3 linked regions of the Struthio camelus genome follow. The protein of the gene in region 1 purifies or fractionates together with the protein of each later gene. This does not show direct contact. Links are inferred from orthologs where the notes say so. Each region holds a gene or a part of one and is shown in the gene's direction. Other genes may lie near its edges. The genes, in order: CTCF, RPL28 and TOP2A.

Region 1 (7,600 bases):
CTTCCATTGTTCAGTTTGTAATTTTTACTTTCTTGAAAGAAACATCTTTGTTCTCTGGATGATGTTAGGTCCAATAAAAAGGGCCCTGGACTGGACCCTGTAAGTGATTTGTACTGCCATGGAGCCTTCGGTGATTTGGGGCAAATTACTTAACCTGTTTTTCTAGTTTCCCTATCTTGTTGTGTTCAGTTTGCAAAGCTGACTTCTTGTAACCACCTCTAACATCCAGGGATTTAAAATGAAAACAGGAAATGCTACTGTATTAAAATGGCCACTCTTTTGCATTCTGTACTGAAGTGTGATAATTCTGCACTTTGAAACAGTAGCTTTCAACTTCTTTTTGCTAAATTATTTGTAGTGGAGGTACAAATGTGAATATGAACTTTAGATTTACCCTCCCTATTTATTATGCGAGAACCTATTAGAGTCACTCAAGGAGTTTTCTGATTACAGGTTGTAAAAGGATCAGTTTTTTGAAGGTTGTAGTTTGAGTCTAAGTTTATCAGATCATTAAAACATTCTTTTTGGAGGATGAAAGAAGTTAGTGTTATTCAACGTTATAACTTACTGCCCTTATTGATCTCTGAAGAGAGATCTCAGTACTGCCCCAGGAAGCCATAATACTCAAAAGATACTCCTTGATTATTTGATCCTTCGCTACCTTCCATGTTAATGTTCTCCCCTCCTTCTTGCTCAGGAATGACTAATATTGACTTCTTTCTGCTCTGTTAGCTCTTTGAGCTACTAGAGCGTATATGAGCCCAGAGTAGTTTATTCTCGGCTGCCTTTTGTGTGTGTGGAAATAATTGTTTGTCCTCTTGAAGCAGTTGTGTTCTCTGCCTGCTCTACCAGTGTTTTGACCTATGTGAAAGAGAATTTGGCAGCTTCTGTGGAGGTGTGATGGAGCAAATATTCTGATGGCTGACTTGCCTGAGATGACGTTTGTAATGTTTTTGGATGCACCTGTCCCGAGTGGCTCATGCAAGCAAATCCTTGCAGAACATGTTTTCTTCTCCAACTCCCCTGGATTAAAAGAAGGGAGATAGCCTTGAATGTTTATCCTGCTGTGATATTAGTGAGATTCTCCTTCGTTAGAGGTACTTGATCCTGTGAAGTTGTTGGTCGGCATGATGTGTTACCGTTTGTTCTTGTCCCAGAGCTGCTTCTCCAAACAGGCTGCCTCTTGCTGACAGCTAAGGGGTCTTTTCAGCCACCCGCTGGCATTCAAGATGTAAGCTCTTGATGTGATTCTGGAGAAAAGAGCACACCTTAGTCCTTGGTTCTCCAAAGACAGATTTTTCTTTTTAATAATGTGGAATTACTGGTCATAGTCATTGGTTTTCTCCATGTCTAAACAAAGTGAGGTCACTAGTCAGTATTGCTTCTGCCTCTTCTATCTTAACTTCATATAGGAGCTCTTGTCTGATGCTGGTCTTTGGACAGCCCTTCTTTGACTTCATATCACACATGTTTTTGTATCTCATAAACAGTGATGTACTAAGCCTCTGCTCTTGTAATGCTGCTCTCTCACATTAAATGCCAGAAGGCTTATATTCATCTCTCTGAAAGTGTAGGTCACTAGGTAAATTGCCAAGGGTGACTGTCCTTATATACATTAACAACACACAGTAAAGAACTGATCATTGTTTGAGATCTTGCAAAAGTATTCCAGGTCCTCTAGAACTTGCTTGGGAGTAAGAAATCCCTCTGCCCCAAGAGCTTTGTAGGTATAATTGTATAAATGAAATCTGTTGCTCTGTGTTTGAATGTTAAGTATATCCTTAATTTTTTGTAAAGTCTCATGCCAGAGATCATAACATAATTTGGGTTGGGAGGGTCCTCTTGCGGTATTTTGGTTTCAGCCCCCAGTTCAAAGCAGGGCCAACTTTGAAATTGGATAAGGTTTTTAGGGTTGTATGTAGCAGCCTCTTTTTTTTTTTTTTTTTTTTTAAAACATCTGCAAGGTTGGAGTTCCTGCTCTAAGCAACCTGTTCCAATGTTTGACCACTCTCATTGTGGAAAAGTGTTTTTCCTAGTATCGAATCAGAATTTTCCTTGATGTAACTAGCCTGTTGCATCTTTTCCTTTCACTGTGTGTCTCCAAGAGTTTGGTTTCATCTTCTCCGTACCCTCTCTTTAGCTAGCTGAAGGCAGTAGTAAGAAATTCCCCTCAGCCTTCTCAAAGCTAACTATGCCAATTCACAACAAGTGCTCTAGCCCCCGTCATCTTGGTGGCCCTCTACTGGGCTCTGTCCAGTGTGTGTCAATGTCTGTCTTGTACTAAGGAACTCCAAAGTGGGCATGTGGAGCAATTTTATTTCCAACCTAGTGCTGTTTCATTCAGGCTTATCATACACGTGAAAAATCTGAATGGGAAAACTAAATTTAATGGGAGGTATTTTATGGGGAAAAAATCCTGGTTGCTGTAATGGAAGTAGGCTTACCTTTCAAATAAAGAAGAGTAAGAATGAGGTTCGCCCCCCCCCCCCCCCTCCTTGGATAGTACTATGGAGTAGGTGAAAGCAGGTATGACTTGCCCTTCTGAAACGTGTACCTTAATCTGAGGACCAAAGTTTCCCAGAAGTATAGCATATTAGTAATTTGAGGTTCTGAGAGTGGTGTCTGAGCTGCTTAGAGCAAACAATTCTCTTCAGAATTCCAGTGATGCATTTCCTTAAGGAGAATCGATACCTTGTGGAGAGAGAAGGATGATTGTGCTTTGCATCTACCATACAGTCAAAATGTGCAAACGTCCCTGTAAAATGCTGTTCCACGTTTGCGATATCTACAGTGTAGAAAATAACTACAATTACTATTGTTCAGTTATTCTTTTCTCCTACTTAAGAGGCTATGGTGGATACACCATTTATTCAAAATGGAGATCTCCCCACTGTTAAGTCATTTGCCAAGCTGAAGGTTTGGTTTTGAAAAAACTGAAGAAAAGATTTTTTTAATTGAATTTCAAGAAAAACAAAATTTAGGATGAAAGAATAACAATAGATGTAAGGATGCTTATATTGAATTAAATGTGTCCTATTTAAGAGTCCTGGCAATAAACCCAATGATGAAAATTTTAAGACAACACAGTTTATATAGGAGTTGGCAGCTTTTTCTCAAGTGTCTTCTGAATGTAGAAGTTGCTCACTATGAGCCTTTCCTGTGTTAATTTTCAAGTTTTTAAGTTTTAGGAAGTAGTCTTTTGCTGGGGTAAGGCTCAGGAATAAAAACTCAGCTAGTAATAGTAACTATTTTATATGCCTGTCACTGTGTGCAGGCTCTCATGAGCGCAGGACCTGGCAAGGATGCACTTCTTCATAGCATTTATACTGTGCCGATAGCAGTTGAGCTCCCTATGTATCCTCCAAGTGTCCCCTTTCCTGGTTGCTGAATGCATATAGCACATGTGATTTTATTGCATATATGTAGACTACAGAGAGATCAATTCCAAAAAATTTTTTTAATCCTATTACTTCACTAGTGCTCAGCATCCACAGCTCTACCAAGTTTGACATCTTTGCTGAACGATTAAATCTTTGCTGCTCTTTGAACAATTAAAAATAGATTTGTCGATGAAAAATTGCTGTCAGAACCAAGACTTAAGCACTTTGTAGTAAATAAAATTAAATAAATAAATGACAGAAGAACCAGGGAAAAAGTAGTATCTAAATTGAAAGGGCATAGAACCAGTATGAAATTCAACACTGTTTGGCCAGCTTTGCTGAGTGGAGCAAGAATACGTGCCTCGCTCCAGAATTAATCCTGTGGAGTTGCTTACTGTTCTCAGGATTTTTGGCATGTATGCACACTGAGGCCTGAGCAGGATTAATGATGAGAAATAATGGGCTGTTTTGTAAATAATTTAGTTCTGTAAATCTGCATATTTTAAGTCTTTGGTTGCTTACAGTAATGAAGTTAACTTAGCAATTCTTCAGTTAGCTGAGGTGGTTCCTCCTCACGGTAACAAAGTTAGAAGTGTGTTAGAGATGACTTTGTTACTTCATTGATAGTGTTATTACTTGCTACCTTGGCAGTATGTGACAGGTTGTACTTGCTCTAATTTACACTCCTTTGACAATAAAAATTGCTTCTTTATTGTGATTTGGTATTTCCCAGCATAGGAGGGAAATAGGCATAACCAGTTCTAAAAAGTCACGTTGCAGCCTTAATTTGACATTAAACATACAGAATTTCAGGTTCCGAGAACTATATGTGCTGAAGAGTCTGAGAAAAAAGTAGAGAGGAGTTTGTAACACCTGAGTTCACTCTTCCTGGTAAAAATCATGAAAGCGGATTTAAAATACTCATACAAGTTTTGGTTTTGTTTAAGGCTTATTTGATAAGTGAAGGAGCCCTCAAGCAATTACCATGCTACTCATCATAGAGCTGTAGAACTAGGCACTTTCGATTAAACGTTCAAACGTGTTTTTTCCCCCCTCTTTCCTTTCTTTTTGTATATAGTTTTACTAGTACTACTAACCTGTTTTGTTCCAGAGTGTGTGTTCTGACATCAAGAGCTGTATGAAGAATAGCCAGAATGAAGAGAACAAATCAGTCCAGGCAGAAGTGCAGAAGCTTCAGGAACGCAAATGTAAATTAAGGGGTTTCAAAGTGTGGTAAGCATTCCATGCTGAGGCAGTAGTTTCACAGACACTTAAGGCTAGCCCTGTGCTGGAAGAAGCTGTCCTGTCTTGCCGCTCCTTTGGCTGGCCTGAGCAGCCACACTGGAGAACTGGTCTGGATGGAAATAAGTATCTTTTGGCTGGGTGAGTTCTGGTCTGAATTAGTTTCCTGCAGTCTTAGACATGATTGTGCCAACATGAAAAATAGTTGGAGGGATGCAGGTGGGAACAAACGAGCAGTGCAAAGGCAGAGGATGGTTTCTTTGCCAGACTTAGGCTTTACTTTCAAACACACTGAACTAACTGCTGGTAGAAAGGCTTCCCCCCCCCCCCCCCAAGATGAGTGTCTTTGTGTAACTTTTGCTTCATAGATTTTGATGGTTGATTGTAATGGCACTCCTGCGGCTTGGTTGTAGAAGAATATTTGGAACATGAGTCCAAATGGATATGTGCATAAAATGGATTATACTACCTAAAACTGCAGCATGAGTGCTACTGTTCAGGATTGATGTGGGTTTGATTTTGTTTATTTCAGTTCCAGGGTTTATTAATTCAGATGAACTTCCCTAAGGTCTATGACTCAAGAGCAAGCATGACTTGCTTTAGGCTTGAGGAGTTTCTACCTTGTCCACCACCCTCCTCCCATAGGTGTTTCCAAAACTATCCTGGAATTTCCTGCCCCCGTTGCAAGGGCGGCAAACTCTATCTTTACAGTTGACATCCTGACATTAAGCCAACTGACACTGACTTTGGTTTCCCTTACCGCATCAATTTGTGGAGCGATTAGTAGTTACTGCATGAGCAGCTATGCTGTTCATACAGGAGCAGGAACCATGCTACCATCCCAGGGGTTAACGCTTCCTGCCCTGTGATTTGAAGCCTGAAATCCCTTGGAAAGGCAAAGTATCACTACTTAATAAGTGTCTATGTAAAGGTAAAAGGAATAGCTTTTCCCCAGCAGTTTATACTAGGGTATTTGTTCATCTAGATGAAGCCTTAGAGGAAAAAATTCCACATACTTTTACCCTGTTACAGAGTTTACAGAATGCCATGAAACTTGCTGCACTGACCTTTTTCCAAGTGTGGTAATATCTGGTGCCATTTTGACATCATGCATCAGTTGGCCAATGAATCCTACTATATCAGATTTATTTTGAAGATAGGGATGTTTTTATTTGCTTTTAAGTGTGCTAATGTTCTAAATGTAAGTCTGAGTTAACGTGCAAGGAAGAATGAGCACAAATTCTTGTTCATAAAACTATTAACCTTTTTCGAAATCTGTCTGCAATATTAGGCTTTGCCTCTTGCGGCAATGGCTTTCACAGGCCACATTTCCAGTGGTGGTCTGTGAGCTTCCTCCATCTCTCTTATATTATGGAGTACTATAAGAGGAAGGCTTTGAGCAAGTTTATGGTCTAGCTTTGACTATTAATCATCTGAAAATGAATTCTTCTCTGCCTGCTACTTTTAAAATTTAACGTGTAAAATATAGAAGGCTTTTAAAGTCCCATATTTGTCTTTCAGAAATGAACTGTAGGGTTAGGAAAACATTCTTAATACATTAAAAAGGGGAAAAAATCCTAGAAATAGGTGATATGGGAATGTTTAGCTCACATTTCCCCATTTTCATTGGAGAAGTGTGCGTATGACTGAAGAACTAATTTGGTCTAAGGAGACTGCAGTATCAGTTGTTGAAAGAAATAGAGTTTTCATGCTTATTCAGTTCCTCCTTAATTTCTCCTTCCTTCTCTGTCTACTTAACATTCTTATGTAACTTAGTTGTACATTTTTTTTATACGTCTTTTACATAACAGCTCAGATCTCTAAATCTTCAGGAAAAACAAGGAAAACTTAGTATTTCTGAAGCTAAAATATATTGAACTTCCAGAAATAAAAAATGCTGAAATGCTTCCATCAGACTGCTTTCTTTAAGGCTTGCCATTTGAAGTTAGGAGTTACAGCCCAAGGGACTTGAAAGTGTGAGATTTGTTATCAGTAACTGCAGCAGTTTTTAACAACACAGATCTCAAGCGATTCACCTTAATTGTATTATGTTTTCATGTCCATTACATGCTACTGCTTATTACAGCAGAATTACCCGTACCTTTTCTGGAAGGTCTGTGATTCTGGGGTCTCTTGCCACTGCTGGTTGAAAGGAATAAAAAAAGGCTTGTTCTACAAACTGCTGAGGAAAGACATGGAGTTAAAATTCCTCTGTCTTGCTTGTAGACCCAATATATACTCTAATTTCATGTCTTGCAAAGCCTTTCCTCTGTGTTCTTGGTCCAAATGAGCAGGTCAACTTTTTCTAAGTAATTGCAAAAAATAACTGGTTTGTGCTACTCTCTGACTGAAAAATGGGTATCAGTGTTGGCTGAAGTTTCTCATCACTTTATCTCATGAGGCATGGTGAATTCAATGTTTGAAAGAGAACTGGCAAGATCCCTGGGCAGGGGCAGCAGCTAGAGAGATTTTGTGTGTTAACGATCGTTTGGAGATGTCTTCTTGCAAAGTATAGGCATTTGAAGTGTCATTGGGATGCACTGGAATTCTGCTTCAACACCAAGGCAGTTGTGGGTAAGGAATGCCTTGAAGCCCGGGAGATGAATTGACTGTGTTCTTGGGGAGTTCATAATGAAGGGGAAGGGGTAAATAGATTTGGACGTGGTTCTGACCAGATTAATTTTGATAACACCTGGCCCAAAATGTAAGCATAAGTAACAGGTAACCTTGTTTCTCAATTAAAGACTAACTGAATAGCACAGTGTGTGTTTCTGATTACAATTAAGTTACATCTGTCTTAAACAGGAAGGTGACCACAGACGGGTGGGTACTGTGACCGAAAGGGTTGCATGATGCTTGAGTGAAATTGATTTCACTGAAGTGTGTCCTCTGTAGATGGTAGGATGGGACAATCTGGAGGATGGGACAATCTGAGGGGGCTCCAGCCCCCTCATCATCTCAATGTAGTCACTCAACTT
Region 2 (7,865 bases), on another chromosome or scaffold:
TGGACGAAGCTCCTGCAGACCTCGCCTGGGCACAGAGCGAGAGCGGGGTGGCATGGCCGCGGGGCACCCGGGGCCCCGCAGGGCACCTAGAGGTGCCACAGAGCACCCAAGGGCCCCCACAGGGCACCCAGGGGTCCCACAGAGCACCCAGGGCCCTGCAGGGCAGCCCAGGGGTCCTCACAGGGCACCCAGGGGCTCTGGAGAGCACCCAGGGGTCCCCCAAATGGCGACCAAGGTTCTCGTAGGGCACCCAGGGGTCCCCACAGGGCAGCAAGGAGTCTCATAGGGCACCCGGGGGTCCTCACAGGGCAGCCCAGGGCTCTTGCAGGGCACCCAGGGGTCCCACAGGGCAGCCCAGGGGTCTCGTAGGGCACCCGAGGGTCCTCACAGGGCAGCGAGGGGTCTCTTAGGGCACCCGGGGGTCCCCACAGGGCAGCGAGGGGGTCTCGTAGGGCACACGGGGATCCCCAAATGGCAGCAAGGGGTCTTGTAGGGCACCCAGGGGTCCCACAGGGCAGCCCAGGGGTCCCCAAATGGCAGCGAGGGGTCTCGTAGGGCACCCAGGGGTCCCGCAGGGCGGCCCAGGGGTCCCCAAACGGCAGTGAGGGGTCTCGTAGGGCACCCAGGGGTCCCCAAATGGCAGCGAGGGGTCTCGTAGGGCACCCAGGGGTCCCGCAGGGCAGCCCAGGGGTCTCGTAGGGCACCCGGGGGTCCCCAAACGGCAGCGAGGGGTCTCGTAGGGCACCCAGGGGTCCCGCAGGGCGGCCCAGGGGTCTCGTAGGGCACCCGGGGGTCCCCGGGGGCGGGCGGGGGGGCCCTACCGTCAGGGTGCTCCTCGCAGGAGAGCCAGAAGCCGGCGTGGAAGTAGCGGAAGACGAACTTGTCGTCGCCGCTCTCCCAGGCGCCGGGGGCGGCGCGGGGGTCCCCAGAGGCGGCGCGGGGGTCCCCGGGGGCGGCGCGGGCTCCGGCGCAGGCCCCGCGCCGCGTCCCCCGCGGGCACGCCGCCTTGGCCACCCTGTGCCGGCCCTGGCACCAGTAGCTGGTGCCGAGCGCCAGCAGCGCCAGCCCCAGCGCCAGGGCCGCCAGCCCCAGCGCCAGGGCCGCGCGCCGGCGGCCCCCCGCGCCCCCCGGCGCCATGCCCCTCGCCGTCCTCCCTTCTCCTCCTCCTCCTCCTCGTCCCCGCTGCTGCTCTCCCGCTCCCCCCGCCCCCCCCGGCCGCGCGGGGCTTAATCCTGCCCGCGACGCTGCCGGCGGGGGGGAAGCAGGGAGGAAAAGCGGCTGCAAGGATCCCCCGGGGCGTCGCGGGGGGACGCGGGCTCGGCCCGGACGCCGGGGCTCCCCCCGCCCGCAGCGCCAGGGCTGGGGGGGCCGGAGCAGGGACGCTCGGGACCCCCGCCGGCGGCTCCCCGCACGCCTGGGTCCCTGCGTTGGGGTGGGGGGAGGCGGGGGGGATTAGGGTCCAGCTGGTGCCTCCGGGAGCTGCTTCGCCTCCGGGGCCGGAGCCGCGGCCAGGGAATTACAGCCCTGCTGGAGCCCGGCCAGGGCCCGGACGCCTGGGCCCCCATCTGGCTCCGCAGCGAGGACCCGGACGCCTGGGCCCCCGCCCGGCTCGGGAGCGAGCGCCCGGACGCCTGGGCCCCCATCTGGCTCTGCAGCGAGCGCCCGGACGCCTGGGCCCCTGCCCGGCTCGGGAGCGAGGACCCAGACGCCTGGGCTCCCGCTCGGCTCGGGAGTGAGCGCCCGGACGCCTGGGCCCCCATCTGGCTCGGGAGCGAGGACCCAGACGCCTGGGCCCCCATCTGGCTTCGCAGCGAGGACCCGGACGCCTGGGCCCCCGCCCGGCTCGGGAGCGAGCGCCCGGACGCCTGGGCCCCCATCTGGCTCGGGAGCGAGCGCCCGGACGCCTGGGCCCCCATCTGGCTCGGGAGCGAGCGCCCGGACGCCTGGGCCCCCATCTGGCTCGGTGGCAGCAAGCACCCGGACGCCTGGGCCCCCGTCTGGCTCCATAGTGAGCGCCCGGACGCCTGGGCCCCCACCCAGCTCGGTGGCAGCGAGGGCCCGGACGCCTGGGCCCCTGTCTGGCTCGGGAGTGAGGGCCCGGACGCCTGGGCCCCCACCCAGCTCGGTGGCAGCGAGGGCCCGGACGCCTGGGTCCCCGCCCGGCTCGGGAGTGAGGGCCCGGATGCCTGGCCCCCCCCCCCCCTCAAATTGGTTCCCCTGGGGCATTGTGGGAGCCGGAGCAGAGGCAGCGCTCGGGGCGGTGGAAAGAGCCATCGAGCGACCCACATTCCCCACGCGGTTAACTGCGCCTGCTAATTAGCAGGAACGGGGAAGGGTCTAGGGGGCTGAGGGGGGGCTCTGGGGGGCTGAGGGGGGCTCCAGGGGGCTAAGGGGGGCGCCTGGGGGCTCTGGGGGGCTGAGGGGGGCTAAGGGGGGCTATGGGGAGCTCCGGGGGGCTGAGGGGGGCTCCTGGGGGCTCTGGGGGTCTGAGGGGGGCTCCGGGGGGCTGAGGACCAGCTCCAGCCCAGGGCAGGATTCGGGGGGGGGCCCCGATCGCTCGCCCACCTAACGAGCCCCGGCCGCATCCGAGCCCCCACCCCGACCCCCCATTTCGGCAGGGACCCTCCGGGAGGGAGGGAGGAGACCACCCCGGACACCCCCAGTCCCCCCCCCGCCGCCGTCTCCCGCGCCCCCCCAGCACCTACCGGCAGGGTGGCGGGTCCCGAGCCGGTCACGGCGGCGGCGGCGGTGGGGGGGGGTCCTGGGTGCTCGAGGAAGGTGAGGAGGCGGGGGGGCGCTCGAGGGGGTCCGGCGGGGCGCGGGGGGAGGACCCCCGCCCCGGCGCGGCCTCAGGGCAGGGCCCGGCGGGCTGCGGCGGCCCCCAGGGCGAGGGCCCCCCCCAGGAGCGGCGGGCAGGGGGCGGCCGAGGCGGGGGCGGCCGAGGCGGGGGCCAGGCGGCAGGGCGGCGGCGGCGGCTCCGGGGTCCAGGCGGGATCTGTGGGGAGAAGAGCCGGGGTGGGTGGGTGGGTGGGGGGCGCACGGAGCGCGGGGGGGGGGGGCTCGGCTCACCCCGGGGGTCCCGCAGGCGGGCGCGCAGCCGGCCCAGGGCCTGGCTCAGGTTGGAGACGGCGCCCTGCAGCCGGGCGTTCTCGCCCCGCAGCGCCCGCAGCGCCTCCTGCAGCTCGAAGGGGGCCCCCCCGGCCCCCAGCAGGGCCAGCAGGGCCAGCGCGCCCCACGGCCCCATGGCCACTGCGCCCCACGGCGCCTCCCAGGGCCCCACGCCCCCCCCCGCCCCTCCCAGTCCCGTCCCCCCCCCCCCCCGCCAGCCCTATCGATCCCCCCTGTCGGCTGCTTCCTCTCCCCCATCGATAACAGCCCGAGGCAGCGAGCGGCGGAGGGACCCACCCCCTGCCCCACGGCCCCCCTCCTGCCCCACAGCCCCCCTCCTGCCCCATGGCCTCCTGCCCCACGGCCCCCTTCCTGCCCCACAGCCCCCCTCCTGCCCCACAGCCCCCCTCCTGCCCCACGGCCCCCCTCCTGCCCCATGGCCTCCTGCCCCACGGCCCCCTTCCTGCCCCACAGCCCCCCTCCTGCCCCACAGCCCCCCTCCTGCCCCACGGCCCCTTCCCCTGCCCCATGGCCTCCTGCCCCACGGCCCCTTCCCCTGCCCCATGGCCTCCTGCCCCACGGCCCCCCTCCTGCCCCATGGCCTCCTGCCCCACGGCCCCCCTCCTGCCCCACACCCCTCCTCCTGCCCCACGGCCCCCCTCCTGCCCCACGGCCCCTTCCCCTGCCCCACAGCCCCCCTCCTGCCCCATGGCCTCCTGCCCCACAGCCCCTTCCCCTGCCCCACAGCCCCCCTCCTGCCCCATGGCCTCCTGCCCCATGGCCTCCTGCCCCACAGCCCCCCTCCTGCTCCACGGCCCCCCTCCTGCCCCATGGCCTCCTGCCCCACGGCCCCCCTCCTGCCCCATGGCCTCCTGCCCCACAGCCCCCTCCTGCCCCACATCCCCCCTCCTGCCCCACAGCCCCCCTCCTGCCCCACGGCCCCTTCCCCTGCCCCACGGCCCCCCTCCTGCCCCACGGCCCCCCTTCTGCCCCACAGCCCCCCTCCTGCCCCATGGCCTCCTGCCCCACGGCCCCTTCCCCTGCCCCACAGCCCCCTCCTGCCCCACGGCCCCTTCCCCTGCCCCATGGCCCCCCCTCCTGCCCCACGGGCCCACATCCCCCCTCCTGCCCCACAGCCTCCTGCTGCTCCACGTCCCCCTCCTGCCCCACGGCCCCCCCTCCTGCCCCATGGCCCCTCCTGCCCCTCCTCAGACTGGGGGGATGCAGCCGCCCCGCAGCCAGCACTGAGGGGCCGCGAAGGGTGGTGACAGATCCGGGCTCCCCACGGCTCCCGGGGGGCCCCGGCGGCCCCCAACGGCCGCCAACGGCCGCCCACGCGCCCCCAACGGCCCCCAACGGCCCCGGCGCCTCGCGCGGGAGGCGCGAAAACCACCCGGCGGGCAGGCGGCCGCCGAAGCCCCGCCCACTCCGCCGGGAGCCTCCGAGCGGAGCCGAAGGGGCCCGAGCGGTGACGGAGATGGCCGAGAGGAGCCGAAGGGGCCCGAGCGGTGACGGAGACGGCCGAGCGGTGACGGAGATGGCCGAGCGGTGACGGAGGTAGCCGAGCGGTGACGGAGATGGCCGAGAGGAGCCGAAGGGGCCCGAGCGGTGACGGAGACGGCCGAGGGGTGACGGAGGCGGCCGAGCGCGGGAGGCGGGCGGGGGGCGGGGCTCGCCGGGCAGGGGGCGGGGCTCGCCGGGCGGTGGGCGGGGCTCGCCGGGCGCAGGCGGGTTCCGGCGCCCGCGCGCGTTCCTTCCGTTTCCGGCGGCGGCAGCGAGCGGAGGTAGCGCGCGTGGCTGCGGCCCGGCCGGGCCCGGGTGGGGGGGGGATCGGGGCCTGGGGGGGCAACTGGGGGGGGGTCGGGGCCTGGGGGGGATTTGGAGAGGGATCGGGGCCTAGAGGGGAATTTGGGGGGGGATCGGGGCCCAGAGGGGGGGTCTGGGGGGAGATCAGGGCCCGGGGGGGGGTCTAGGGGGGGATCGGGGCCTGGGGGGGGATCTGGGGGGAGATCAGGGGCCGGGGGGGGTCTAGGGGGGGATCGGGGCCCAGAGGGGGGATCTGGGGGGAGATCAGGGCCCGGGGGGGGGTCTAGGGGGGGATCGGGGCCTGGGGGGGGATCTGGGGGGGATTCGGGCCGGGGGGGGGATCTGGGGGGTAAATTGAGGGGGGGATCGGGGCCTGGGAGGGGATCTGGGGGGTAAATTGTAGGGGGGATCGGGGCCCGGGGGGGATTTAGGGGGGGATCAGGGCCCAGAGGGGGATTTGGGGAGGGATCGGGGCCTGGGGGGGGCAACTAGGGGGGGGATCAGGACCTGGGGGGCATTTGGAGAGGAATCAGCACCTAGAGGAGAATTTGAGGGGGAGAACGGGGCCCGGGGGAGATCTAGGGGGGAGGATTGAGGCCCAGAGGGGGAGCTGGGGGGGGGATCGGGGCCTGGGAGAGGAGATCGGGGCCTGGGGGGCAGCTCTATGGGGGGATCGGAGCCTGGAGGGGATCCAGGGGGTAGATTGGGGGGGGGATCGGGGCTTGGGAGGGGAACTGGAGGGAATTGGGGCTTGGGAGGGGGAGCTGGGGGGGGATTGGGGCCTGGGGGGGGATCAGGGCCTGGGGGGGAGATCGGAGCCTGGGGGGGATCTGGGGAGGGGTCGGGACTTGGGAGGGGAATTGGGGGTAGATTGGGGCCCAGAGAGGGGGCTCTGGGGGGGGATCGGGGCCTGAGGGGGATCTGGGGGGGGGATCAGGGCCTGGGGGGGATTTGGGGAGGGGTTGGGACTTGGGAGGGGAATTGGGGGTAGATTGGGGCCCAGAGAGGGGGCTCTGGGGGGGATCGGGGCCTGAGGGGGATCTGGGGGGGGGATCAGGGCCTGGGGGGGGTTTGGGGAGGGGTTGGGACTTGGGAGGGGAATTGGGGGTAGATTGGGGCCCAGAGAAGGGGCTCTGGGGGGGGATCGGGGCCTGAGGGGGATCTGGGTGGGGGGAATCGGGGTCTGGGAGGGTAGATTGGGACCTATGGGGGACCTGGGGGGGGATCAGGGCCTGGGGGGGGTTTGGGGAGGGGTTGGGACTTGGGAGGGGAATTGGGGGTAGATTGGGGCCCAGAGAGGGGGCTCTGGGGGGGGATCGGGGCCTGAGGGGGATTGGGGAGGGGGGGGATCAGGGTCTGGGAGGGTAGATTGGGGCCCAGAGAGGGGGCTCTGGGGGGGGATCGGGGCCTGAGGGGGGTCTGGGTGGGGGGCATCAGGGTCTGGGAGGGTAGATTGGGACCTAGAGGGGGGGCTCTGGTGGGGGGATCAGGGCCTGGGGGGGAGATCGGGGTCCGGGGTGGGGATCAGGGCCTGGGGGGGGCTCCGGGGGGGCTGGGGGGGGATCCGGGCCGGGGGCTGAGGGGGCTCTCGCTGCCCCCAGGCGCCATGTCGTCCCACCTGCAGTGGATGATCGTGCGCAACTGCTCCAGCTTCCTCATCAAGAGGAACAACCAGACCTACAGCACCGTGAGTGGGGGGGGCGCGGGGGGGGCCCGGCTGTGTCCCCCCTCCCCCCGGTGGGGGATGGACCCGGGAGCCCCCCCCCCCCCCAAACAATGGCTGAGCCCGGAGGGGAGGGGCCCAGGCGTCCGGGCCCCCCCACAGTGACCTAGATGGGCTGCAAGGGGGCCCAGGTGTCTGCCCCCCCCCCCCAATGATCCAGATGGGATAGGGTAGGGCCCAGGCGTCCGGCCCCCCCCCAATATGATGGCCTAGATGGGGTGGACGGGGAAGGCCCAGGCATCCGGCCCCCCTCCCATAGTGACCCAGACGGGACGAGCGGACCCAGGCGTCCGGCCCCCCCCCCCCCCCCCCCATAGTGACCCAGACGGGACGAGCGGACCCAGGCGTCCGGCCCCCCCCCCCCCCATAGTGACCCAGACGGGACGAGCGGACCCAGGCGTCCGGCCCCCCCCCCATAGTGACCCAGATGGGACAGGATGAGGGGACCCAGGTGTCCGGGCCCCCCCCCAGCGTGTCCCCCCCCCCGCAGGAGCCGAACAACCTCAAGGCGCGCAACTCCTTCCGCTACAACGGCCTCGTCCACCGCAAGACGGTCGGGGTGGAGCCGGCGGCCGACGGCAAAGGCGTCGTGGTGGTGCTCAAGAAGCGGGCAGGTGGGCCCCGTCCCCGCGACCCCCCCCCAAAAAAACCACACGCCGCAGCCCCCCCCGCGCCGGCCCTGACCGCTCTGTGCCTGTCCCCCCCCCCGCCAGGGCAGCGCAAACCGGCCACCTCCTACGACCGCATCACCGTCAACAAGAACGCCCGGGCCACGCTCAGCAGCCTGCGCCACATCATCCGCAAGAACAAGTACCGCAAGGACCTGCGCATGGTGAGCGCCCGGACGCCTGGGCCCCTCGCCGGGGGGCGCTCGGCTCGTGGGGGGGGGGCCACGGAGCCGCGGGGGAACCGGGTCCTTGCGCTGAGCAGGATTTGGAGGGTGGGGGGGGGTGGTGGCATGGGGCTCAGCCCCACGAGGAGGGGGGGGGGTCCCGTCCCCGTGTGTCGTTCCCCCCCCCCCGCCCCGCGCTGACCGTGTCCCCCCCCCACCCCGCGGTGTCCCCAGGCCGCCCTGCGCCGCGCCAGCGCCATCCTGCGCAGCCAGAAGCCGGTGGTGGTGAAGAAGAAGCGGGTTCGCGCCGCCAAGGCCCCCTGAGCGCAATAAAGGCTCCGAACTGCCCCAAAAACGCGGCTCTGACTCTGTTGGGGAGGGGGGGGGGAAGGGGCC
Region 3 (7,372 bases), on another chromosome or scaffold:
GCGTGGGCCTTGCGTCCCTGCCCGCCGCCCGCCCCTGGGCCTGGCGCCCCTCTGCTGGGCCAAGGGGCCCCGGCCCGGCCCCGCCACCCGTCTCGGCCCCGGCCCCACGAGGCTCGTGCATCCCCCTCCGTGCACCGGGATCACTGCTCGTGCATCCCCCTCCGTGCACCGGGACTGCCGCTCGTGCATCCCCCTCCGTGCACCGGGACCGCCGGCTCATGCATCCCCCTCCGTGCACCGGGATCACTGCTCGTGCATCCCCCTCCGTGCACCGGGATCACTGCTCATGCATCCCCCTCCGTGCACCGGGATCACTGCTCGTGCATCCCCCTCCGTGCACTGGGACTGCCGCTCGTGCATCCCCCTCCGTGCACCGGGATCACTGCTCGTGCATCCCCCTCCGTGCACCGGGATCACTGCTTGTGCATCCCCCTCCGTGCACCGGGACTGCCGCTCGTGCATCCCCCTCCGTGCACCGGGACCGCCGGGCCGGGCGCTGCGCGGGGAAGGGGGGGCCGCATGCCCGGCGCTGCAGTAACAAACCCCGTCGGCTTTTGCAGGCAGCCGCCGCCGCAGCCTGGCCAGCGGGTAAGGGCATTTCCCGGGCGTTTTGGGTGGGCTCCGGCCTCCTCGGAAGCAGGGCCGTGGGGCGGGCAGCGCCGGACCCCCCCCCCGCCGGCGTGCCGGGCTGCGCGCTGACCCCGGCCCCTCTCCGGCCCCTCCAGACGCTGACGCCTCTCGGACGGAGCCGCCGGACCCCCGCGGCGCGGACCTCCGGGTGCGTCCCAGTGCCCTCGAGGCGGGGGCGAGGGACGGGGCCGCCCCGCGCCCAGGCGCCGGCTCATGCACCTCTGCACCCCCCCCGCCCTCGCTCAGCGCCAGACGTGGGTGTTCGGGTCCAAGGAGCTGATGCTGAAGGCGGGCTCGGCCGTGCCCGAGGGCAGCCTGGTCTACGTGCGCCAAGGGAGCAGCGCCTTCCTGCGGACGCCGCGGGGCTGGAGCAGACTCCTGGTACTGAGCGGGTACCCGAAGGGCGCCGGGCTCCAGCCCCAGCAGCCGCCTCTGGATTTGGCCCCGGAGCAGCCCGGCGAAGGCAGCGGCTTCCCCTCTGACCAGCCCCTCGGCTTCTCGCTTTGAGCAGCTGGAGGATTCGGAGGCGCTCTTCGCCGGCGACGACCCCTCTGCGTCTCCCCCCGGCCCCCAGGTGAGGGCTGCGGGCGGCGAGCGGGTCGGGGGCACGGCGTCCTCCGCGGACGCGCCAGCCCCGCGCTCGCTCCTCTCCGCCCGGGAGGCGAAGCAGCTGCAGGCGAAAGGTCCCGACACGGAGCCGCCCGCCGTGGCGCCGGCGGCCTCGCAGGTGAGCGCCGCGCCGCAGGGACAAGCGTCCCTCCCCGGAGCGCTGGCCGGGCGCCCGCCGAGCCGGCAGCCGGGGCGCCGCAGCAGGCGGGGGGACTCCGGCAGGGCAGCGTGGCTCTGTGCCCGGCATGGCTGAGCCGGAGACCGACGTGACCCACCTTCCCCCAGGCCCACAAGGAGGAGGGACCGGGGACGCCCGGGATGCTGCCGACCGCCGTGGCCCCCAGGGTCCCTTCGGTAAGAGCTGTCCCGCTTCCCGGCCCCTTCCCGGCCCCCCGGGAGCTGGCGCCGGGTCGCCCAGCTGCAGGAGAGGTGGGAGAGGTGCCCCGGGGTCCCTCCGTGTCCTGCCGGGAAAGGCAACGCTTTCTGTCCAGGGAAAACCCTCTGCGTCCTGCTGGGAAATGCCCTCCGTGTCCTGCCGGGAAAGGCAGGGCTTGGTGCCGGGGCGGGGGGGAATCCCACCGCCGGGGCAGCCGGAGGGTCAAGCGCTCGGGGCGGAGGAGCAGAGACCCGGCAGCCGGGCGAGGGAGCAGGACGGGCGCCGGGGGCCGCCGGCTCAGGCGGTGCCCGGCCTCCCCAGCTCCGTCTGGCAGCCTTGAACGCGCCCCTCTCCGGGGACATGAGCGGCATCCGGGGCGCCGACCTGCAGTGCTACCGGCAGTCCCAGGAGGCCCGGCTCTACGGCACCTTCCGGGCGTTCCTCTCGGCCCCCACCCAGGACCTGGTCTCCATCGTCAAGCGGACGGACAGGACGCTGCCCGTCGTCAACCTCAAGGCAGGTAGCCCCGCGCCCCAGCTGCCGCCCCGGCCGGGGGCGACGGGCTGAGGCGGCATCCGCCGGGCACTGGGCACCGTCCTTGTCCGAAACGCCACCCCGCCACCACCGCCGCTCGCGCTTGCAGGGGCAGCTGCTGGCCAAGAGCTGGAGCTCCCTCTTTGAGGGCCAGGCCGGCGCCACTCGGCGCGTCCCCATCTACACCTTCGACGGACGTGACGTCCTCAGCCATCCCCTGTGGTGAGCGGGGCTGGCACGGCGGGTCCCCCAAAGGTGTCCTCCTTCACCTCCACCACCACCACCACCACCACCACTACCACCACCCTCCACGGGTCTGGTGCAGCAGGTCCCCCAAAGGTGTCCTCCTCCATCCCCACCACCATCACCACCACCACCACCACCCTCCATGGGTCTGGTGCAGCAGGTCCCCCAAAGGTGTCCTCCTCCATCCCCACCACCACCACCACCACCCTCCACGGGTCTGGTGCAGCAGGTCCCCCAAAGGTGTCCTCCTCCATCCCCACCACCATCACCACCACCACCACCACCACCACCACCATCCTCCACGGGGCCAGCACAGCAGGTCCCCCAAAGGTGTCCTCCTCCATCCCCACCACCATCACCACCACCACCACCCCCACCACCCTCCACGGGGCCGGCACAGCGGGTCCCCTCAAAGGTGTCCTCCTCCACCCCCACCCCCACCACCATCCTCCGCCAGGCCGGCGCGTGCCGGGGCCGGCCGTGAGGAGACGGTGCTGTGTCCGCAGGCCCCATCGGCTGGCCTGGCATGGCTCCGACCCTCGCGGCGGCTCGGCTCGCGGCCGGCACTGCTACGGTTGGCGGCGCTCCGGCTCGGCCCAGGGGCTGGCGGCCCCCCTGGGTCGGGGCGAGCTGCTGGCTGGGCAGCGCTACAACTGCTCCGAAGTCCTGGCCGTGCTGTGCGTGGAGGTGGCCTTCCCCTACCGGCACATGTGGTGAGCGAGGAGCCGGCCGAGGCCCCGCCGGAGGCTCCGCGCTGCCGCCGGGATGGCCGCCGCGGGGTGCTCGGCCATCCCCCCTTCCCACCCTCCCCGAACCCTCGCTCCTCGTCCCCTGCGCATCCCCGCTGGTCCCCCCGCCCTGCCCCGCGTGTCCATCTGCATCCCGGACCCCACGGCGCAGCCGATGCTGCCATCCCACCCTCCCCCCGGAAATAAACTTTAAATAAATGAATGGGAGGGTCGGTGTTTGGGATGGTGCCCCCCTACCCCACCCCGGGCACGGAGCGGGACGTGCTTTCCCGTTCGGCCGAAGCGGAGCGTCACAGCCTGGAAAGCAGCTGGGCTCTGGGCTTGTTTGCGAGACATGTCGGGGGCGTGTTTGTACACACACACACATATATATACACATATGTTAAAAAAATATATATGTATATATATATATTTGGGTCCCCCCCAATATATATATACACACACATATAGAGGGACCTCCTCCAAGGGTCTGTGTCCCAGCATGTCCCCAAGGCCTGCCCAGTATGTCCCAGTGTGTCCCTAGGGTCTGCCCAGTGTGTCACTATGTCCCCACTGTGTCCCCAGGACCTCTCCCGGTGGGTCTCCAAGGCCTGCCCAATATGTCACTATGTCCCCCTGACCTGCCCAATGTGTCACTGTGTCCCCATGACCTGCCCAGCTGTCCCCAAGGGCCTGCCCACTGTGTCCCAGTGTGTCCCAGTGTGCCCAGTGTGCCTCCTTGACCTGCCCACTGGGTCCCAGAGTGTCCCAGTGTCCCCACGACCTGCCCACTGGGTCTCACTGTGTCCCACTGTGTCCCTATGACCTACCCAGTGTGTCCCTGTGTGTCCCCAGGGCCTGCCCCCTGTGTCCCAGTGTGTCCCACTGTGTCCCAGTGTGTCCCCAGAGCCTGCCCAGTGCCCCCAGGCACCACCCCAGCAGGGCTGGCCGGGGAAGCCCCGTAGCTGGGCCCCGTCACCCAGGCAACCGCGACCCCGCCGGCGTGCCCTAGGGACGCAGCCTCGCCGCCACCTCCCTCCCTTGCTTCTCTATTGGCCGAGATTAGTGCCCGTCATCCAGATGTCCCTTGTGAGTGGCGAGATTTGAACGGCTCCCGCCTTCCCCCCGGCCGGAGTGGCTGGTTTGAAAGAGCGGGGAGCGTTGTGACTGGCTAGGGGAGGTGGGCGGGCGGGGCCTGTGTCCCCGCCTTCGCCCTGCGATTGGCGGGCCGGTTTCGGCGGGCTGAGCGGAGGTTTGAAACGCGCCCGGAGCGGTTAGCGGGCCGCCATCGCCGCCTCTCAGCGCTGCCGCCGCCATGGAACTCGAGGAGTCCCCGTCGCCCCTCCGAGTGCGTGCGGCCGCCGTCCTCTCAGGGCTGCGGGATCTCCCATCCCCTCAGATTCCCCCCCGGGGCCCCTCAAACCCCATCAGATCCCCCCAATTCCCCTCAGATCCCCCCCCGGGGCCCCTCGGATCCCGTCAGATCTCCCCCTAGTTCTCTTCAGATCCGCCCCCGGGGCCCCTCAGATCCCCCCCCGGGGCCCCCCAATTCCCCTCAGATCCCCCCCCCGGGGCCCCTCGGATCCCGTCAGATCTCCCCCTAGTTCCCTTCAGATCCGCCCCCGGGGCCCCTCAGATCCCCCCCCCGGGGCCCCCCAATTCCCCTCAGATCCCCCCCCCGGGGCCCCTCGGACCCCGTCAGATCTCCCCCCCCGGTGACCCCCAATTCCCCTCAGGTTGCCCCCCAGTTCCCCTCAGATCCCCCCCCGGGGCCCCCCAATTCCCCTCAGATCCCCCCCCATCTCCTCATGTCGCCCCTCAGGATCCTCCGCCAGGCTCGTCTCGGGGTCCCCCGCCGCCCCTCTCCCCTTCCACGGCCCCCTCCCGCCGCCGTGGCCGGTCCCCGCTCCCCTCACGGCCCTTGTCTCCCTCCCCGAGCAGCCCCTGGACGAGAACCCGCGGGTGCCCAAGGGCGACGGCGCCAAGAAGCGGCTCTCGGTAGAGCGGATCTACCAGAAGAAGACGCAGCTGGAGCACATCCTGCTCCGGCCCGACACCTACATCGGCTCCGTGGAGCTGGTGACCCAGGTGCGCCGGGGCTGGGAGCACCCCGGGGCTAAGCAGCACCCAGCACCGGGGGGGGGGGGGGGGGGGCGTTAACATGGCCCTCCAGCTAAGTGGGAATCAGTGCTGGGTGCCTCTGCCTTACACCCTGATGGCAGGGAACATGAGGGAAACCTGAAAAACACTTGGGGATGTATGTGTTTTTTTTACTTTCTTTTCAGCAAATGTGGGTTTTTGATGAGGATGTGGGCCTTAACTGCAGAGATGTGACCTATGTGCCTGGCTTGTACAAAATCTTTGATGAGATTCTAGGTGAGCTGTGGGATATCTATTGGACTAGTGATTAGCAAGTTTGTTTGTTTTTTTAAGTTATTTCTGGGTGCTGAAGGTGTAAGAGACCCTTGAACTAAAATTAAGAACTTGGCAAATGTACTTTTTTCCAGTTGACCAAGTAATGTCCTTTGCATAATCCGATGGATGGTGTTCACAGAGTATATCGTTTGTTGACTGTGCTTCAAAATGTTGGATACTAATGTTCTGCCTGGTCTTAATTTCCATTAGTGCCACTAAAGTGTAAGCCATTCTTGGGATGATGGCACTATATATTATAAAGCCAATTCCATTCAGCCCCAGATTCTCCCTTTTATGTTATCCTGTAGTGCTCATCTCTATAACTTGCAAAATCTTTGCCTATCAAGATGATTACTAGTAGCATCTTGTCTTCAATTTTTGTATTCGTTCTACTGAAAGCACTTTATAGTTAATATTTTCTGTCTTGATTGAAAGTGTAATATGCTAAAAATAACAATCTTTCTATTCTAGTCAATGCTGCAGACAACAAGCAGAGGGATAAAAACATGTCATGCATTAAAATTACAATTGATCCGTAAGTTTTATTTCATTTTTTCAGTGTCTTCCCAGTTCACGTATGTTAGATTTTCTTCTTCAGATACTGTTCTGTTAGGCTGGTGTTAGGCAATAGAGAGCTCTTTGCAGAGGCACATTCAAGTTGAACCAAATGTAACTCCTGGAGCTCCACAGCTGCCAACTTGTGTAGCATTATTGACCAATTACAAAAGCCTTTATCTTCTTTAGGTCTCTTGCTCTCTTAGAGCGTTGGCTTGTGAAATCATTGCTTTTACTTCCCCCCCCCCCCCCCCCCCCCCGCCTTGTGGTCGTTTTCTCCTTTCCTTCTTCTCAAATTTTTTATTCTGTTCTTGAGCACAGATTATTTTTGTATGTAACTATTCATATTATAGATGGTATCTGCAGATCTGAGGCTGAAGGTTTTTTTTTTTTGGACTTGTCCTCCCTCTGCTGGCTGTTTTTACACTTGCCGAACATAAATTTACTTTTGATGAAACGGTGGCCTTCTACCATTGATTTTGTATAGCATTTATTTCATAGCTCAGTCATTTCCAGCCTTAAAGACACACTCTCTTCTCCCCCAGAGAGAATAACACGATCAGTGTATGGAACAATGGGAAAGGTATTCCAGTTGTTGAACACAAAGTGGAGAAGGTCTATGTGCCTGCTCTTATTTTTGGACAGCTATTAACCTCAAGCAACTATGATGATGATGAAAAGAAAGTCACAGGTAGGGAAGTCTCTAAATTAAGTGCTAATATTTTTGTGCTGCCTGATCAGCTTAAATGTGTGAACTGAATTACCCAGTGTGAGTGAGCAGTAGCTAGCAGGTTTCATCAAGACTGCTTGTTCTGAATAAAGGTGACACTAACTGGTCCCTTGCTGTTCTCCTTGTTAAGAAAAAGAAGTGATGTTGATGCAGCATAAAAATGGAATCCCTGAGTGTATCAGAGGGACGTTTCCATGCTGTATTTTATAATAAAAATGGTACAGTCATGGAGAACAGGAGGAATTCCCTTTGAAAACTAATTCCCATTAAATATGGGTATATAGTCATGTGCTAAGTTTGTAGGATATTGTCATTCATGGTGAGTCGTACTTTGACAGTGCTGAAGGGACTGAATTCTTGTTAGTCTGGAATTCTTTTAGATGGTTTTGAACAAATGTAACAACATAGATCTGTTTGCGTTACAATTCCAGGTGGTCGAAATGGTTATGGAGCCAAACTGTGCAACATATTTAGCACAAAATTTACTGTAGAAACTGCATGTCGTGAATACAAAAAATTATTTAAGCAGGTATGGACACTTTCTTTAAT

What was found.
Region 2: the proteins of CTCF (region 1) and RPL28 purify together in Homo sapiens (affinity purification with mass spectrometry; 3 studies listed by BioGRID and IntAct, with this or other methods). This does not show direct contact. The link is inferred for Struthio camelus from reciprocal best matches to the Homo sapiens genes CTCF and RPL28.
Region 3: the proteins of CTCF (region 1) and TOP2A purify together in Homo sapiens (affinity purification with mass spectrometry; 3 studies listed by BioGRID and IntAct, with this or other methods). This does not show direct contact. The link is inferred for Struthio camelus from reciprocal best matches to the Homo sapiens genes CTCF and TOP2A.

Annotation. Positions count from the first base shown.
Region 1 is NC_090951.1:26,295,387-26,302,986, forward strand, and holds the start of CTCF (transcriptional repressor CTCF), read left to right. Parts: upstream 1-4,519; 5' UTR 4,520-4,534; coding exon 4,535-4,588; intron 4,589-7,600.
Region 2 is NW_027182594.1:51,703-59,567, forward strand, and holds RPL28 (large ribosomal subunit protein eL28), read left to right. Parts: upstream 1-4,788; 5' UTR 4,789-4,892; intron 4,893-6,515; 5' UTR 6,516-6,520; coding exon 6,521-6,601; intron 6,602-7,127; coding exon 7,128-7,251; intron 7,252-7,350; coding exon 7,351-7,469; intron 7,470-7,703; coding exon 7,704-7,793; 3' UTR 7,794-7,824; downstream 7,825-7,865. Other genes in the region: germ cell-specific gene 1-like protein, read right to left, coding at 1-25, 822-1,137.
Region 3 is NC_090966.1:6,951,022-6,958,393, reverse strand, and holds the start of TOP2A (DNA topoisomerase 2-alpha), read left to right. Parts: upstream 1-4,337; 5' UTR 4,338-4,438; coding exon 4,439-4,471; intron 4,472-5,064; coding exon 5,065-5,211; intron 5,212-5,408; coding exon 5,409-5,499; intron 5,500-6,009; coding exon 6,010-6,073; intron 6,074-6,638; coding exon 6,639-6,784; intron 6,785-7,254; coding exon 7,255-7,352; intron 7,353-7,372. Other genes in the region: collagen alpha-1(XVIII) chain-like, read left to right, coding at 561-588, 726-778, 877-1,011, 1,142-1,204, 1,292-1,357, 1,525-1,593, 1,937-2,131, 2,259-2,371 and 1 more. UniProt on the Homo sapiens protein: Key decatenating enzyme that alters DNA topology by binding to two double-stranded DNA molecules, generating a double-stranded break in one of the strands, passing the intact strand through the broken strand, and religating the broken strand.